2 linked regions of the Alligator mississippiensis genome follow. Each later gene encodes a partner of the first gene's protein in a complex. Links are inferred from orthologs where the notes say so. Each region holds a gene or a part of one and is shown in the gene's direction. Other genes may lie near its edges.

The links. The genes of interacting proteins can lie anywhere in the genome.
Region 2: TFDP2 (region 1) and E2F1 share a complex: the UniProt entries of both Homo sapiens proteins name them as parts of the DRTF1/E2F transcription factor complex. The link is inferred for Alligator mississippiensis from reciprocal best matches to the Homo sapiens genes TFDP2 and E2F1.

Annotation. Positions count from the first base shown.
Region 1 is NC_081830.1:56,276,578-56,284,699, reverse strand, and holds the start of TFDP2 (transcription factor Dp-2), read left to right. Parts: upstream 1-4,914; 5' UTR 4,915-5,039; intron 5,040-8,122. UniProt on the Homo sapiens protein: Can stimulate E2F-dependent transcription.
Region 2 is NC_081832.1:27,211,976-27,220,240, forward strand, and holds the start of E2F1 (transcription factor E2F1), read left to right. Parts: upstream 1-4,856; 5' UTR 4,857-5,223; coding exon 5,224-5,466; intron 5,467-8,265. UniProt on the Homo sapiens protein: Transcription activator that binds DNA cooperatively with DP proteins through the E2 recognition site, 5'-TTTC[CG]CGC-3' found in the promoter region of a number of genes whose products are involved in cell cycle regulation or in DNA replication.

The DNA of each region.
Region 1 (8,122 bases):
ACTAGGTCCTGCCATACGTCAAGAGCCTTCCTGCTGCTATAACATTATTTACTACTACATATTGAATCATCCTACCCTTCTTTATGATCTGCAGCAGCTCCGCTCCTTCAGTGAACTCCACAGAGGTAGCTCACATGATTGAATATTATTACTACTATGTATCAGTGAGGGCGTGGTTACCGGGGCAGGGGATTCTTACTCTAATCATTGGGCAAGGAAGAAGCTATGGGAGCGGTGACAAAGGATGCTTCTTGTTTGCCTTTGTCGGACTGGAATTTGATAAATTTGTTCTGTAGTGGGCTTCACTTTAAGATCACTTTCAAACTGAAGCTGGTGCAGAATACCACTGCCTAACTATTACAAGGGCATTTATTTTCTATGAAGGACTCTCTAAATTGGAATTTACTTCCCTTGATCTGAAAAAGCCTGGATTTGATATCCTTTAGGGTATGCAGTAAGTTATATTTTTCTGGGCATTTCTGGGAGGAGCAGGAGTTTTTTTTTCCTTATGGTAGACTTTACCCTGTGAATTTACCCCTCTTGACTGTGTGTATTAGATCATATTTGGACTAACTTGACAGTCTATTTGCATAAGGAGGCTTTTGTCCATGGTGCATGTTATGGCATTATGGTTCCTAGGCCTTAGATGAGCAATATAGTAAGTCAGAATATAAAAGTGAACACCGATCAATACTAAATACCAGTATTTTGTCCCCAAATTTTTGTAGCTAATGGTTTCCATCTGATACATTCATTTCTTTAATTTTGTAATAAAATACATAATTTTGCACTTTGTGAGTTAATACAAATATCGTTAAAAGTCATTACAAGTACTGTCTCATTCTTTAAAAAGTCTGTAGCGATATTAATATTTTCAAAGCCGTCATGATTATTCTGTGCTAAAGCTGAAACAAATGTGTCTATTTTTTTAATAATTACTTTATTGATACTGTTTTTAAAACTGGAATAAAATAACTAATGAATAAATTATGTAGAAAGCTGTTATTCAAACCAGCATCTAATTATAATTTCGAGTCTTTATGTTCTTTTAGAATTCCCTTTTTGCAAGAATGTGTGTGCATGATGTATTTATATTGTTTTATCTAATCTGGACTGAATCAAACGAGCTATATTTGTGGAAATGCTATGTTCTTTGGTTCTGTTTTACATTAGGAATCCAGTGTTGGAAGACAGAACCTCTCTCTCCTAGAAGATCTGTATCCTGGTGTGAGGGGGAGATGGGCAGACATGAAGCTAGCAGAGAACACAAACAGAAACTGAATTTGAGTGACTCACAATTGGTCAAAAATCTAGTACAGTTCTTTTCCATACTCTGCTTCAGAATGAAAGCTTCTGTTTAAGAAAGACCCAGACTCTTCAGCTTGGCAAGATTGCTTTGTATCATGTCCTGAAACTGAAGAGGAGACCACTGGAAAACTTCCTTCTATGCAGAATCCTTTTAGGTCTAAAGGTGAGAGAGGCTGTTTTATTGCCATCCAAGACACCTGCTGCTTCTTCCATCCATCCATCAGCATAACGGAATGAGAAGGCCTGCTGGAAAGTAAACAGGGAGCAACTGTGTGCCATTAGCTTGCATCCCTGATTTGAGCTGGATCCCTAAAACTGAAATGAGAAGCCAAAGTTGGTCCCTACATCTTCCCTTCTTCCACTCTGTTAAATGTCAATATTGTTAATCTTCCAGTACTGTTCAAAACGCACAGCAAAAAGGGATGAGATCTATTCCTGGCTTAGGGTCAGAGGGGAGAGCAACATAAGTAATGTTGTGGTGGGTGTCTGCCATGGACCACCAGACCAGGAGGATGTGATGGATGAGGCTTTCTTCAAACAGCTAGCAGAAGTTTCCTGATCACAAGTCCTTGTTCTCATGAGAGACTTCAGTCACCCTCCCAGTCATCTCCTGGGAGGGCAATACAGCAGTGCGCAAGCAATCTAGGAAGATTTTTGGAGAGTGCTGGGAACAACTTCCTGGTGCAACTGTTGGAGACCAACTAGGGGCTGTGCTCTTCTTGACCTGCTGCTCACAAACAGGGAAGAATTGGTGGGGAATGTAGAAGTGAGTGGCAACTTGGGCAGAAGCGAGCATGAGATGATTCAGTTCGGGATCCTGAGGAAAGAAAGAATGGAGAACAGCAGAAAAAGGACCCTGGACTTCAGAAAAGCAGACCTTGACTCATGAAACTGATGGGCAGGATCCCCTGGGAGGCCAGTCTGAGGGGAAAGGCATCCAGGAGAGCTGGTTGTACTTCAAAGAAATCTTACTGAGGGCATAGGAACAAACCATCCCAATAAACAGGAAGACTAGCAAGTATGGCAGAAGACCAGCTTGGCTTAAGAAGGGAACTTTTCAGTGAGCTAAAACACAAAAAGGAATATTACAATAAGTAGAAACTTGGACAAACAACTAGGGAGGAATATGAGAGCATTACTTGGGCATGCAGGGGTGAGATCAGAAAGTCCAAAGCGCAGTTGGAGAGTTGCTGCTAGCAAAGGACGTATAGGGTAACAGGAAGGCTTTCTGCAAGTATGTCAGCAACAAGGAGGATCACAGAAAGTGTGGGTCCCTTACTGAAAGGGGGAGGCAACCTTGAGACAGGATGTGGAAAAGTCTAAAGTACTCAATGCCTTTTTTACCTTAGTCTTCATAAGCAAGGTCAGCTCCCAGACTACTGCACCTGGTAGCAGTTTGGGGAGGAGGTGAGCAGCCAACAGTGGCAAAATAACAGTTCAGGGACTATTTAAAAAAGTTGGACATGTAAGTCTGTGGGGCCAGATGCAATGCACCCAAGTGTGCTGATAGAGTTGGCCAAAGTGATTGCAAAGCCGCTGGCCATCTTTGAAAACTCATAACAGTTGGAAAAAGGCAAATAATAGTGCTTCTCTTTAAGAAAGGGAAGAAGCAGGATCCAAGGAACTATAGACCGGTCAGTCTCACCTCAGTCCCTGGAAAAAACATAAATCAGGTCCTCAAGAAATTCATTTGTAAGCACTTGGAAAAGGTAATTAGGAACAGTCAGCATGGATTCAGTGAGGGCAAGTCATGCCTGACCAAACTGATTACCTGCTCTGATGAGACGCCTGGCTCTGTAGATGCAGGGAAAGCAGTAGATGTGGTATACCTTGACTTTGGCAAGGTCTCTTGCAAGCAGACTAAAGAAGTATGGGTTGGATGAATGAACTGCAAAGTGGACAGAAAACTGGCTAGATCATTAGGCTGGATCAATGGCTCCATGTCTAGGTGGCAGCCAGTATAAAGTGGAGTCCCCCAGGGCTTGGTCTTGGGGCTGTTTATTTTCACTATCTTCATCAGTGACCTGAAAGGTGGGAGTATACCCTCAGCAAGTCTGCAGATGACACCAAGTTGTGGGGAGTAGTAGATATGTTGGAAGGTAGGGCTAGGATTCAGATAGACCTAGACAAATTGGAGGATTGGACCAAAAGAAATCTTATGAGGCTCAATAAGAACAAGTGTAAAATCCTGCAACAAGGAGAGAAGAATCCTAAGCACCAGTACAGGCTGAGAACTGACTCGACTGAACAACAGCTCTGCAGAAAAGGATGTGGAGGTTACAGCGGACAGTAAGCTGAATATGAGCCAACAGTGCTGTTGTTGCAAAGAAGGCTAACACCATACAAGGGTTGCATTAGTAGGAGCGTTGCCACCAGAGTGAGGGGAGTGGTCCTTCCCTTCTATTCTATTTTTCCCCCTTTATTCCCCCCCCCCTTCCCTGCTTTACCTTTTGTCTAATTTCTACCTATTTACATTCTCACTGACACCCTGCCACTTTTAGCATCTCATTCCTTGGCGTCTCAGAAAAGCAGAGACTCCCTATGCCTGAAGAAGTGTGACTACCCCTAAAAGCTTGCTAAGACCTTTTTCTAACTATTCAGTTGGTCTAATAAACAAAATCACACCTACTCAAAGAAACTTGCCATTTTAGGATTATAACATTCATAGATTAATATCTAAATTTCATAGCCATTAGACTGCTTCAGGGGTAGCTGCATGGATTAATTTTAGATTGCCATTAAAAGATCTTAATTGGGCAATCATTCACAATGTGTTGCACCATCTGAAAAATTGCACCACACAGCCCTGAAAAATCCCATCACAGTTGCAACCTGGATGCTCTTTGATTCTCCATTTATGGAGCTAGTGTCCACATTTTCCATGAAGGGTCCAAATTTGATTCAAGGAGGACCAAATCTTTGTTGGTAGGACAAATCCTGGCTGGGGGACAGTAAGGTTGCTAAAGATGTATTTATGCAGCAGGTTTGTATTTGTCCAGGCTTCTCTCCATTGCTCTTCAGTGCACCTTTAGCTTCTTTATAACTTCTGCCCGGTACCCTCAGCATCTCAGAGTTACAACACCTCAGGCAAGGGGTAACTGGCCCGTGCTTCCTTGCTTCAGTCCCAGAGCTGAGAATAAGCCTTGCAGTCCTCCAGCATCCCAGGATGCCCTGCCCCTCCCCTCACAGCACCCCGGGGTCCCACCCCCCAGGGCAAGGTCCAGCCCTGCGGGCAAGCAGCCGCGTTAACCCTTAAGGTGCCACTGCTCCCAGCACTTCCCTGCCCAGTGCATGCAGGACCCGGCACCTGCGGCACGGGGCGCTGCCTGTTTCGGGGCCGTGCCCTTCACTATGCAATTCAGCGGGGGAGGGGGCCCATTAAAGCCGCGCTCGTCCCCCGTCGCTCCAGGGCCGGGGTCAAAGGTAACTGGACTCTCTTAGGGCGCATGCGCCGCCCCACGCCCCCGGTTCGGTCCACCCCGCCCCACCCCGCCCCCGCCGGAGCAGCGGCTGGGATTGGCGGGTGGATTGTGTACACACACGAGGAAGCGCCAATGGGCGGCTGGCGGCGCCTTACGTCAGGCGGAGGGCCGGCCAATGGGAGCGGGCGGTTGTCAGACGCCGCCAAGCTTGTGCGGGGGAGCTGCGCCCGGCTCAGGCGCCGGGAGCGCTGGATTCACACCGCCGCCGCGGGGCTGCTCTCCGCGCCGGGCCGGGCCCGCCGGCACCTGGTAAGGACGCGCCGAGCGCCGCGGCCCCGACCCCCGCCTGCTCCCGGCGCGGCGCCCCCGGGGCTGCTTGCGGGCGCGTCCCGCTCCCCGGCGCGGCGGTACAGCGGCGCGGGCGGGCCGGGCCCCGTGGGGTGACAGCGCGCCGGGACTCTGCGGCGGCGGTGCGGCCTGGTTGGGTGCGGCGGGAGCAGGCGCGGCGGCTCTTCCTGCTCCGGGCCGGGCGGCGAGGGCGGGGCCTGCAGCGCCGGCGCCGCCCGGTCCTGGCCTTGCGGCGGGGCCCGCCGGGTCCTTCCCGGCTTCTGGCGGCGGAGCAGGCACCGCCCGCGGTCGCTTTGCGCCGCCAGGGCCCGGGGGAAGGCGGGCGTGGGCGGCTGCCGATGCGGCCTGGGGTTGGGGAAGGCTGAACAGCCCCTGGCTCGGCCGAGAAACGCGGCTCGGGTTGGGGGGCCGCTCCTGCGCTGAGGAGGAAGTTGTCCGGCTGTCCAGAGCTTCACCCGGATCCTCGGTTCACCCCTACGTTTCCTGGGAGGCCAGGCCTGGCCTCTTCGTGAGGCGGGTCTGTCCTCTAGGAGGGGCTTTGGTCTCCTGTGACGTCCGCCTGGCAACTCTGGGCACAAGTCCAGCCAACTTAATAGAAGAGTCGGCATAGAAACATGGAAAGGGGGGCATTTGGGGGCCTGTCTAATTATGCCAGAGCTTCTCTTTCTTTTTATTAAAGCGACTTGGCTTTCCTAAAAGTTGTCTGTTCGTCTTCAAAAATTTAAATCTTCTCCCTTGAAAATCTGGTTACATTTAGCAAAAATACTGTCCAGCGGTGACTGGGTCACACAGATGTTGTATCTAGTTCTGCGTGTCTTAGAAATTCCCTTGTAACTGGCTCGCGAGCTGGAACTTTGATTGTTACCTGGTAAACCTGCCCTTGTATGCTGATCCTGGAAGCAGCTTCCTTTTCTTTAGGTTAGATTGTGGCTAGTAAAACAGTTGATCCTCTGGTGACTGAGCTTTGTCTTTCACAGCATTCGCATCAATGTGATAGAGGTGAGTTTACCCATGAGTTATCTGAACTGCAAAATGAGGTTACTTGTTTGAATCCTAGCACTGATATTTTGTACATATAGACACGCTTAATGTGTGGACCCCTTCCTTAAAATAGACTACTGGATATCTATGCGATGCCTAGATAGCAACTTGATCAAGCCCTAAGGAGAAGGCAAAAAGTAGGGTGTCTCACCCTAAGTGCCTAAGTGGTTCAGAAAGGCATGAGCTTTGGTAGGCAACTACCTACTTAAATCAGATGCTCTGAATTAACTGACAGAAGAGAAACTATTTAATGGGAAGGAAGAAGTGGTTATAAGGGGGGGGGGGGACGGACAACCTTTTTTTTTTTTTAGCAAGAGATAGGGGATGGAGGGGAGGGAATACAGAATATTTTCCCCACTCCCACCACTACCTCCCCAAGACAACTTTTGCTTGTTAACTTTAGACTGGGATGACCTCTTCTAGCAGAGATGCTGATCACATGGTACACCTGTGCCCTAAAATAAGAGGGGGAAGAAAAATGATAACACAGGAGTTCCTCTTCACAGGACTGTTGTATATTAGCCAATTTCTAAGAGCAATCTTGTATTCAGCTGTAAAACCCTCAAACTTTTATAACCACTTCCTGTTTGTGCAAAAAATCTTTGCTGTAATACAAAAAAAGAAGAGGCAGTTTGACTTCAGTGGATACAGTTCATAATCTTTATTAAATTATATACCTTTCATTTATGTACTGCTGTTAACTGAGTGCAATGCAAGCTTTTTGCCTATGTTGCTACTTGTAGCCTCAGATGAGCAGTTCAGCTGTTAGTATATTAAACAGTATATTTAATATCATCTTTCTGATTGTTTATTACATAAGTAGTTACCTTCTGATACCAAATGATATGAGACAAAAACCCTGTAAGTTCCTCATTTTTCATCATTCATTTCAACATGAAGCTGAAAAATTACTGTTCTTCTAGTACCATTATTTAGATGCTAATGTAAAGACCTTTTTCCTGGGATGAGCAAGGTATTTCAGTGAATTACTGCACCTTTTAGAAAACTTTTGACACTAGTCATCTTGTGAAACTTATCCTGTTGTTTTTGTTCCTGGCAGGTGTTTTTTCTACACTACAAGTTGTGTGACAGTTAATATGATTTGGTATAATCTTTCTGCTCATCAAAAGCCTATTGCTAAAAGTATGGCAAGTCCTAATCTAATTCATTTAGTTGTGTGCAGAAGCTTGCTTGATTTAAGGCTGTCTGTTATAAGCTGCTTCTAAGATGTTCAAGCAGAGTGATGTTCAAAGGGTGCTTATTCTTCTGAAAGAACTTAATGAATTTATTCTCTTTGCATACTGGATATAACTTTTTGGAGCTTCTTGTGCACCTGGAAAGTCATGAGCAACCTCAGATGAACTGAGGAAGGTGGTGTCAGCTTCATTCTGCTGTAGAGGAGAGTCTACTTACAGGAACAGTACCAAAAAAAAATTAAAAAATAGCCATAGAGTGGTATAAGAGAGGTTCCTGGAGAACCTGATCAATTCAGTAAGAAAGAATAAAGAGGGGATATAGCTGGGAAAGGGAAGTTGTTTAGCTAAGTTGTATGTCACATTTTTAACTGCAGTTGCTACAACTAAACAGGCTCAGATTAATCTGGATGGTTTTATTGATATGTTTCCTTAATAAAGGCTTTAGCATTGCATTGACATTTATTTGCTTTCTAAATGTGTGTGGCAGTGATTAGAGGAAAGATGTCTCATTCTCTATTGGCATAATTTATGGGATCTTACTACTAGCTAGAGGGTTGCATGAGTAGATTTTTGTAGACTACTAGTAGGTAGTGGATACTGAAAAGTAAAGACCAACACATTTTCTCCCTCTGGTCTCCTGCCATGAAATGTGTTCTTGAAGCTGGGCCTTGGCTGTATCACCATAATGTCAATGCAAAGTCAACAGGCCACACAAGTCCATGCTCTTCTAAATGTATCTAACTTTGATGGTTAAGTAATTCAGTGGAAAATCAGCTAAAATAGATTAGTCCCCTGAGGTATACAAGT
Region 2 (8,265 bases), on another chromosome or scaffold:
AGTGGTAAGACTGGCTTTGTTTCAACTTAACTGGTTTTTCCTGTATTTGTGTAAAAGCCTTTACTGGTTGCTGTCAGGCAGCAGCTGCAGGTGTTTGCTGCTTGCAGGATACTTAGTGAATCAAACAGTTCTCCGAGCTGTTTCTGTAGTGTCTATGTTCTACCTGACTTTTTTTTTTTTTGCCTGTGATCTTCAATGTTTAAGAGTCTTCACTGTGGGTGTAACTATATTAACTAGGTCACTACTATCCTAGAGTGCTTCCAGGGTTCTAATTTAGTGAAACTGCACTACTGAAGACCTCCAGAAACAGGCAAGTTCCTCTCCCAGGATTCCACTTAAACATATGGCTAAGATTTCTAGTACAATCTTGATTGACTTTGACTGACTATTATGTGGCCCATTTTTACTGTATCCTTTGCCACCTTTCTGGGGTATCATTGAGTCAGTGCCCCAGGCTGGTGCTGAAGGATCATTATGCTTTTCATGGTAAGGTGGACAGACTGACTACTAAAGGTCATTCATTTCTCCCAGCACTTCTTACAAGGTAAACAGACTTATATTCTAGCCATAATCTGTCACTGCTTATTACAGTCTGCTTCCTTAGGAGTGTCCCTTCAGGCTCAGTTAGAGGCATATTTGTTCATTTTTCTCTTATATTCTTTCAAATGGTGAACGTGAGTCAATAAATAGCTTCCATGTTTCACACCAGAAGCAACCATGTTTCAGTAATGGATGAAGTGAGTATTTAATAAAAAATCTGGGATTCTTTTTCTGTAAACCTTTGTCTATATAAGTTACAATTCTAGAAAAGGCGCAATTCATAAATGTGCTTTCTCATCGTACCTTTTTTTTTAATTTAGACTTCTCACTTGGTAAAACAACTTATCAGCTTCCTACACATGGAGATGCATATGGAGGGAACTCTACAATCTATGCCATGTTTTGTGGGTGTATTACCATAGCCCCCTGCACATTTAGAGATACTAGAGGACTCTGCTGTTATCTGCCTTTTCAGCTCTGAATTGCCCATGGCTGTATAGAATATGGATGAACAAGTGTTGCACAGCAAAGTCAACATAACTCTGATTTTCTTACCAGTTAGGCCTTTGGAGAAAAGACTCAGGAGTGTGCTGTCAAGATTGTCTCCACCTTGGCTAGCAACAGGTACTGAATATAAGACCACCAAAGCCAAAATCATCAATCTCTACAGCTTAAGCTAAATAGCTGAGTTGTTAAAGACTGGTATCCTCTGTGAAAGGACATAAAGGGGAAGCATGTATATACACTGACTAATGTGATACAATTACAGCAAGAGACTGGTAGTAAATACAGTAAAGTTTCTTCTCTTTCCATTCAATGGCTTGGGCTTTTTGTACAAATTTGAGCCTTCGCAGTCTCCCAGATCTTATAGCTTAAAGACATGCCAAAGACAAAGACAGCTCATGAGACCTCCAGATTTTCTCTGCAGGTACCCCAATACAATCATGCAATTATTAAATGTATTATGACAATATTTCCTGTTTAATTTCTATAAGATGTGCCAGTACACTAGTTATATTTTGTTCAATGAAGACATACTTCACCAGAAAAATGAATTAAAAACCCCCACCTTTCAGAAGATCTTAATTCTGAAAGAAACACAATCATTTTGGGACAAGGCATTACTGTCCAGAAACAATCAGGTGGGTGCTGTTTACCATTGAACATCAGAAATAGATTAAAGTAAAAACAAACAAGTTTTCCAGAAAGGTCCATTCCCTTCCCCATGGGAAAATAATCAATATACAATGAAGAGTGTTAAGGCCTCTTGTTTCTCCTTGTTTCTGTCTGTTTCACAGTATATCTTGTGGGGTTTTGTCCCAACCATTCTCAGATGACTCCAATGTCAAGACTCCCACCACTTCCATGAGGACATTATGCCAGTGATTTGTGTATCCCATGTTTAGAGGTCTTCTAAGTAGCCAAACACTTCCCAAGTATTTTAAATAGAAATGCCTGCCCCTCTCTTTCTTTTCTTCCTTGGCATGTTAGAAAAGGAGTCTGATGAATTTGTAGGACTGCATATGCATGCCTGTAGAAGCTAGTGAGGGAACACACCACTAAAGAAATGAGTCTGACATTTAATTCTGAGAGTGATGAGGCCTGTAGTTATTCCTATAACTCCTGGGGCCAGAACCTGTAAGAATTGGGTCCTTCATTCATAGATTTCATAGATTTTTAGGGCCCGAAGGGACCTCAGTAGATCATCGAGTCTGACCCTCTGCCCTGAGCAGGAAAGAGCACTGGGATCAGATGACCCCAGCCAGGTGCTTGTCCAGTCTCCTCTTAAAGGCCTTCAGAGTAGGGGAGAGCACCACCTACCTTGGAAGCCCATTCAGATTCTGGTAACCCTTACCATAAAGAAGTCCGTCTTGATGTCCAGCCTAAATCTGCTCCCTGTCACTTTGTGGCCATTGTTTCTAGATACCCCAAGGGGCACTCTGGTAAGTGAGCTTTTACTTCTTGTCACGTGGAATATAGCTGTAGAAGGACAGCATGGTCTCACTAAAGGAGAGCTACCTAGAGCACTTTGAATATTACAGTAGAGACCTTCAGCTAGACTTTGTCCACTAGGCAGTGACTGTAGAAAGCAGTGCATGGGAAAGATGTTCATAGAAGGTGGCCAAAGGGACAGACTTCAACTATCTCTGAATTTGAGGCTTTATGTCTAGACATGGCTTGCAATAGCCACACTTGAAGGTGAGGAACATATGGACCTATAGCCAGGTCTGTCTTATAGGATAGTCATTATTATCTGACCAGTCATAGGGGGAACACAGGAAGGTAGGACTGGAAAGGGCATCTTTAGCTGAGTTCAGTATCCAATGGATCAAATGTTGGGGTTATTTGCTAGCAAGCTATTTGATAACCAATAGTACCATGAAATCTGAAGGGAATGCACAGCTGAGGACACACATGACAACCCAAGGGAAGGTGAATTCCAACAGGGGGGATGCCACAGAGCTGACAAACTCTTTGTAGCACTCCCTTCTCCCTCCCAGGATGGTTGCATTCAAAATGGTTTCAGCTTTAGTTAGGCAGTAAGGAAGCTGAGAGACATTGCTGTTTATAGTTGACGTGAAGAGATGGAATTGGATATCATCTGGGTAATGGCGGCACTTCAAGCTACAGTATCTCATCAGCTCCATGTAGACATTGGATGTTGTAAGGTGGGGACTAGGCTCCAGAATGGAAGGCTTTGGAAACAGAGCATTAGTTCCCTGTGTCAGACTCTGGGTTTGGTCTCTGAGGAGAAATCTAAGGCATTTCATAGCTTTATCATCTATTCCTACAGCTACTTGGAACAGTGCAAAAGTGTTTTGTAACACTACCTACAAGCTCTAGAAAGAGGCTCAGAATAATGAGGCTGGAGGTATGGACCTGTCCACAGATAGAAAGATGTCATCTATGAAAGCGGCTAGGAGTGCCTTAGTCTGAAGTCAGAATGAGAGGAATCCAGGATGTCAACTGGCCTTAGAAAGTGGGGGGAGGGAAGTGTGAAGAACTGTTTCTTGTTGCTGCTGGCTTCTTGTGTTGTCCCTTAACCCACCCATCCTCATATGGATCTTGACTTTGAATACATGAATTGAAAGGGCTGGGATTTGGACACCTTCTCTTAACTGCATTTTCCAGACTACAGGTATGCCAGGAAGCCCCCTGGTGGCATCAGCAGTCTAACTTTGGATCAATCATTCACAAATTGTCACAGCTCTGCCATTCAGAGCCAAGGTGGACTCTGTCATATGGACAAAGTACAGGCAATTTTGTATAACTGTAAATTTTGCTGAGTCTGATTAGTCCTACTGGGGGCAAAGTCCAAACAGCTGGCCTCATCCCGTAATGCCAAAGGAAGAAATGCTTTATGAAGCAAGTCATGTTTGCAGCAACTAAAGAAACCAACCCTCTACTGCATGCACCCACTCAAGAACAAGAGACCACATCACAGATACCTAGGGGGATCATTTGACTTGCTACCAGCCTTGCCTGCTCCTTTTATGCCACATTCACCCGTGTATGTCTTTGTACTGATGCATATAGGTGTGGGCACATGCACACGCATGCATGCACACAGCTGACAAACACCCACACAGAGATGCATTTACATGAACGCATGTGCACAAACCTGCATGCATGGGCACACACAGACACTTTTTTTTTTTAATTCTCTATTCCTTTCTCCCGGTGTTTAAGTCAGGTGCGTTTCCTGAAGCCTGCAGCTCCCAGCCTGCCCTTCCAACTGGAGACTCGTGGTCCAGGTAGAGCACTTGATGGCACACCCCGTGGGCCGCAAGTCACGGGGTGAGCTGGGGGATGGCTGAGACAGGATCATCAGCTACGGCGACGCGCGCCAGCCTCTGGCCAAGTGCCCTCGTGCAAGGCGCGAAGACGCCGCCGTCCTGAGCAGGGCAGCGAGGGGAGGGGTCTCAGTCCCAGAGGGAGACCTCGGAGCGTGAGACCAGCGCTGGGGCGGTGCCAGGAAGAGGCGGGGCAGCCCGGGCTCACGTCAGCCCCGGGACAGGGAAAGCGCCCGTGCCGCGCTTTTCCCCTTTAAGGCCCCGGTTCGAACCCCTCTCACCCCAGCGGCCCCAGCTCAGCGTCCCCCAGCTCCCCGCTGATTGGCCCACGGCCCCCTTCCCTCCCCACTCCGACCGACGCAGCCTCTGTGATTGGGCCACTGTCAGAACGGTCTCCCAGTCACTCCGAAACCTCCCGGCTGCCCCGCCGCGGCCAATGGGGAGATGCTGTTTGCGTATCAATCCCGGGGTCGCGACCAATGGGGACGCGGCTGCCCGCGGCGTTGCGTATCGACGCGACGGGTGCAGCCAATCGGAGCGCGCGCACTCGGCTCGTGCTGCTTTCGCGGCAAAAAGGATTTGGCGCGCAAACGCGTGCGGGGCCGGGACCAGCTGGGAACAATAACAGTGGCCGGGCCGGGGCAGATGGTCTGGGTCGCCGCCGCGCTCGGGGCCTTGCCTGGTTGCGCCTCCTCGGGCTGAGTATGGGCCGCGGCGCCCTGCCGCTTCTCCCGGCCGTGGCCTTTGCCCGCCGCTGGCGGGGCTGTGCCGCCGTGCCCGCCAGGCCGCTGTGATCCCCGGGTGGACGCAGCGCCGGGAGCGGGCGAGGGGAGCAGCGCTGGGTCTTCCCCGTGAGCGCCCGGGGATGTGAGCCCGCGCCGGGCGGAGGATGTCTTTGGATGGCCTGGAGGTGGCCCGGGATGGCGGCAGCGCCTGCGTGGCCGAGCTGGAGGCGCTGCTGGGGGCAGCCGGGGGGCTCCGCGTGGTGGAGCAGCAGATCGTGATCATCTCCACCCCCGGCGAGCTGCCCGCGCCCGACGGAGACAGCGAGGCGGAGCTGCTGCTCTTCGCCACCCCGCAGGCTCCGCGGCCGGGACCCGCCGCGCAGAGGCCCGCCCTGGGGCGCCCGCCGGTAATGCCGCTTTCACTCCCTAGCCCCGCCGCGCGCTTGCCTCGGGCGCTCTCCGAGGCTGTGCCACGCGGCGCCTCTTGCACCTGAACGGGGAGCCTGCGGGCGAGGCTGCCGTGGGGCGGCTGGTCGGAACCCGCGCAGTCCAGCGGAAAGGCGGCGGCGAGCGGACCGGGCGTAGGATGCAGGGGAGCTCGGCCGGGGGCTGCCATAAGCCGCTTTCCCCGCGCGCTGGCCTCATTGCCCCTCGCTCAGGAGAGCGCCCTGGCGGCTTTGACTGACCTCCGGGGCTCCGCTCCTCGGGTGTTTTCCTACTGGGAGAGGTTGACTGTGTTGCACCGGCTGGGCCCCCATGGGCACCGCGCAGGGCAGTACGCTGTTAATACGTAGCTAGGTGATGTAGGCAGAGGCCCCGAGCAAGGCTGCCACACTTTGTTTTCTGGCTGTGTAACAGAGCTACCAAGTGGGCAGCACTGCATAAAGGAAGCCTGAAATGAAAGCAGCAGCTCATGCTGTCTTCAGATGCATTTCCAGTTTTGTTGATAACTGCTGTGAAGTAGTGAAGTGGAACAGGTTGCAGTGGAGGATGTGGAAGTTCTGGCCCTGATACATCTGCCTGTGAGGTAGATAACACATAAGGGAGTGATGTGCCTTGTACAGGAGGGAGGAATGCTGACTTTTGAAAACCTGGGAAAATAAGTAGCTGGGGAATGGAAAGCCTGAGAGAGTGGGGTCCTCACCATAGCAGAACTCCATTTAAGGCCAGGTCCCAGTAGTGCATTTTATTTGTGCCCCCAAGCCTCTCCATTGGTTCCCAGAGCTCAGTGAGTTCCTTGAGCTGCTATGACAAAAGTCTGCAACAGTATAAATGTAAAGGCTTCACTTCCTGCTGCAGGATATTAAGGCCACAGTCCTGCAGAAGTCTGTTGTCCCAGGGTGGGGTCTGTTTGCATGTGCTTATTTGCTCTCCCTGAGATGTAATGTTTTTTAAATCCTCAGGGTAAGATTTCTGGAACAGGGGTTCTCTCCTTCAGCATCAGCACCGGGGGACCTTCCCATTGTTTCTCCAAGCAAGCTCAGAAGCTACATGCAGTGCCCCTTTTTCCTCAGGGAGCCTCACTGAAAACAGTGGTTTGCCCATGCTTTTCCTAGCGCAAGATAAGAGACCACTGAAGTAAGGGAGATCACTGGAGTAGTCTTTTCTCCCTCTTTCTGGGGTCTTGACTTGTTTACAGGGCTTACTAGGTTGATTTAAAAGGCCAGCATCTCCAGCGAGATCAAGTGTAAAGCAAGGAGGGCTTGCAGTTCTGGTCCCGAGAGAGACAGATTGTGTGTGGAACGCACCTTTAATTGTACACTGCCAAGTCCATGATAAGGATCTTAAGCCCTTGTGCATCATTGGCCATGGATCCTGAGATGAGACTGGTCACTGTTCCAGTTTGGAATCCTTATGCTTTAATTCAGCAGAGGGGATAGGGAGCCAGGAGAAAGCTTTGCCCTTGAAACACACTATTCTGCAGCAGCCCATCCCTCTAGTCAGAGGGGCCTGCAGGGGGCAACAGCTTTATAGTTGATCCTTTTGGTTTAATTGTAGGCTGCTGTTTGGTTCAGAAATCCATAATAAGATATTGTTATTTGGGAGGGTTGGAAAACATGCAGTTACTGCTCCTCTGTGCTGTCATGCTTAGTGCTTGGGCTTGTGCTTCCTGTTGAGCCCGTGTTTGGGAGAATCCTCCCAAAGTGACCTGCTGTTCTCAGGTGCTCTTGAGAGGAGTTCCTCTCAAAGCCTCTCAGACTGCAGCCTGGTGCCTGTGGTCAGCAAAGCTCTTAACACACACGTGTATGAGCAGCAGGGTCCAAACTCCTTTTTCAAGCTCCTGGGAAGGGGGTGGTTCCTGCCTGTGTGTAGCTTAACCTGACAGTCAGATATCTGGAGGAGTATGAGCAATGCCAAGCTCATTCCTTGAACAGTCAAGTTGCTTCTTGTCATGTGTGTTTCTGAGACTTCATGCTGCAGGGAGGTGTCCAGCCCAGCCACAGTCATGCTTTTGGGGTGTTCCCACTGTTAACAGGCCTCCGTTACCATATTTCCCTCTTTCCCACCCACTTCCTTCATGATCCAGCTCATCTCTCACTAAAGAGAGGTAAGAAGCAGGTGCAGTAAAAATTCATGAGAAGTCTTGGCAAGTGCTCTTGAAACTCCAGTTTCTTGTGGTTGAACATTTGCCCCAGGCATTTTGCTGAAGCATCAGTGTGAAGCTTCTGCTTTGCCTGTTGACACAAACTTCCTGGGTGATCAAGTCAGGTGCTTGATTTGAGGTTGCTATGGCAAGGCTTTGATTCCCTGGCTGGTTCCTCGTTTGTGATGTATAGCCAACAAGATCAGAGCTTCATAGCTTGTCCTGGCTCACATTGGCACAACTGTATGATGGTGCATGAAAGGGCAGTGGCTCTATTATGGAAGAACCAAGAAAAATCTGAGTTGCTGAGTGGGTACCTCTAACAGGGCAGTTTTAGTCTGACACCCTGTATAACTCCTGAGCACTGGCAACCATTTTTTCTTGAAGGCAATACTTATATAAAACAAGGGGGTGAATGTCTGTGCTTCAGAGTTCTGTTCCAGTTTCTTTTCCTTCCCTTGGTCCACATCTGCTGTAGCAAGACCTCTTTAGTTTTGAAGAGTTCCTAAATGTCTGGTGGCAAGACCTGTTCAGTAGCTTCCTGAGATGCTGGGTGGGGGTGGGGTATTCCAATCCTCAGATATACTTATATGACTTCTGGCATGACATCTTCTTTAACTGG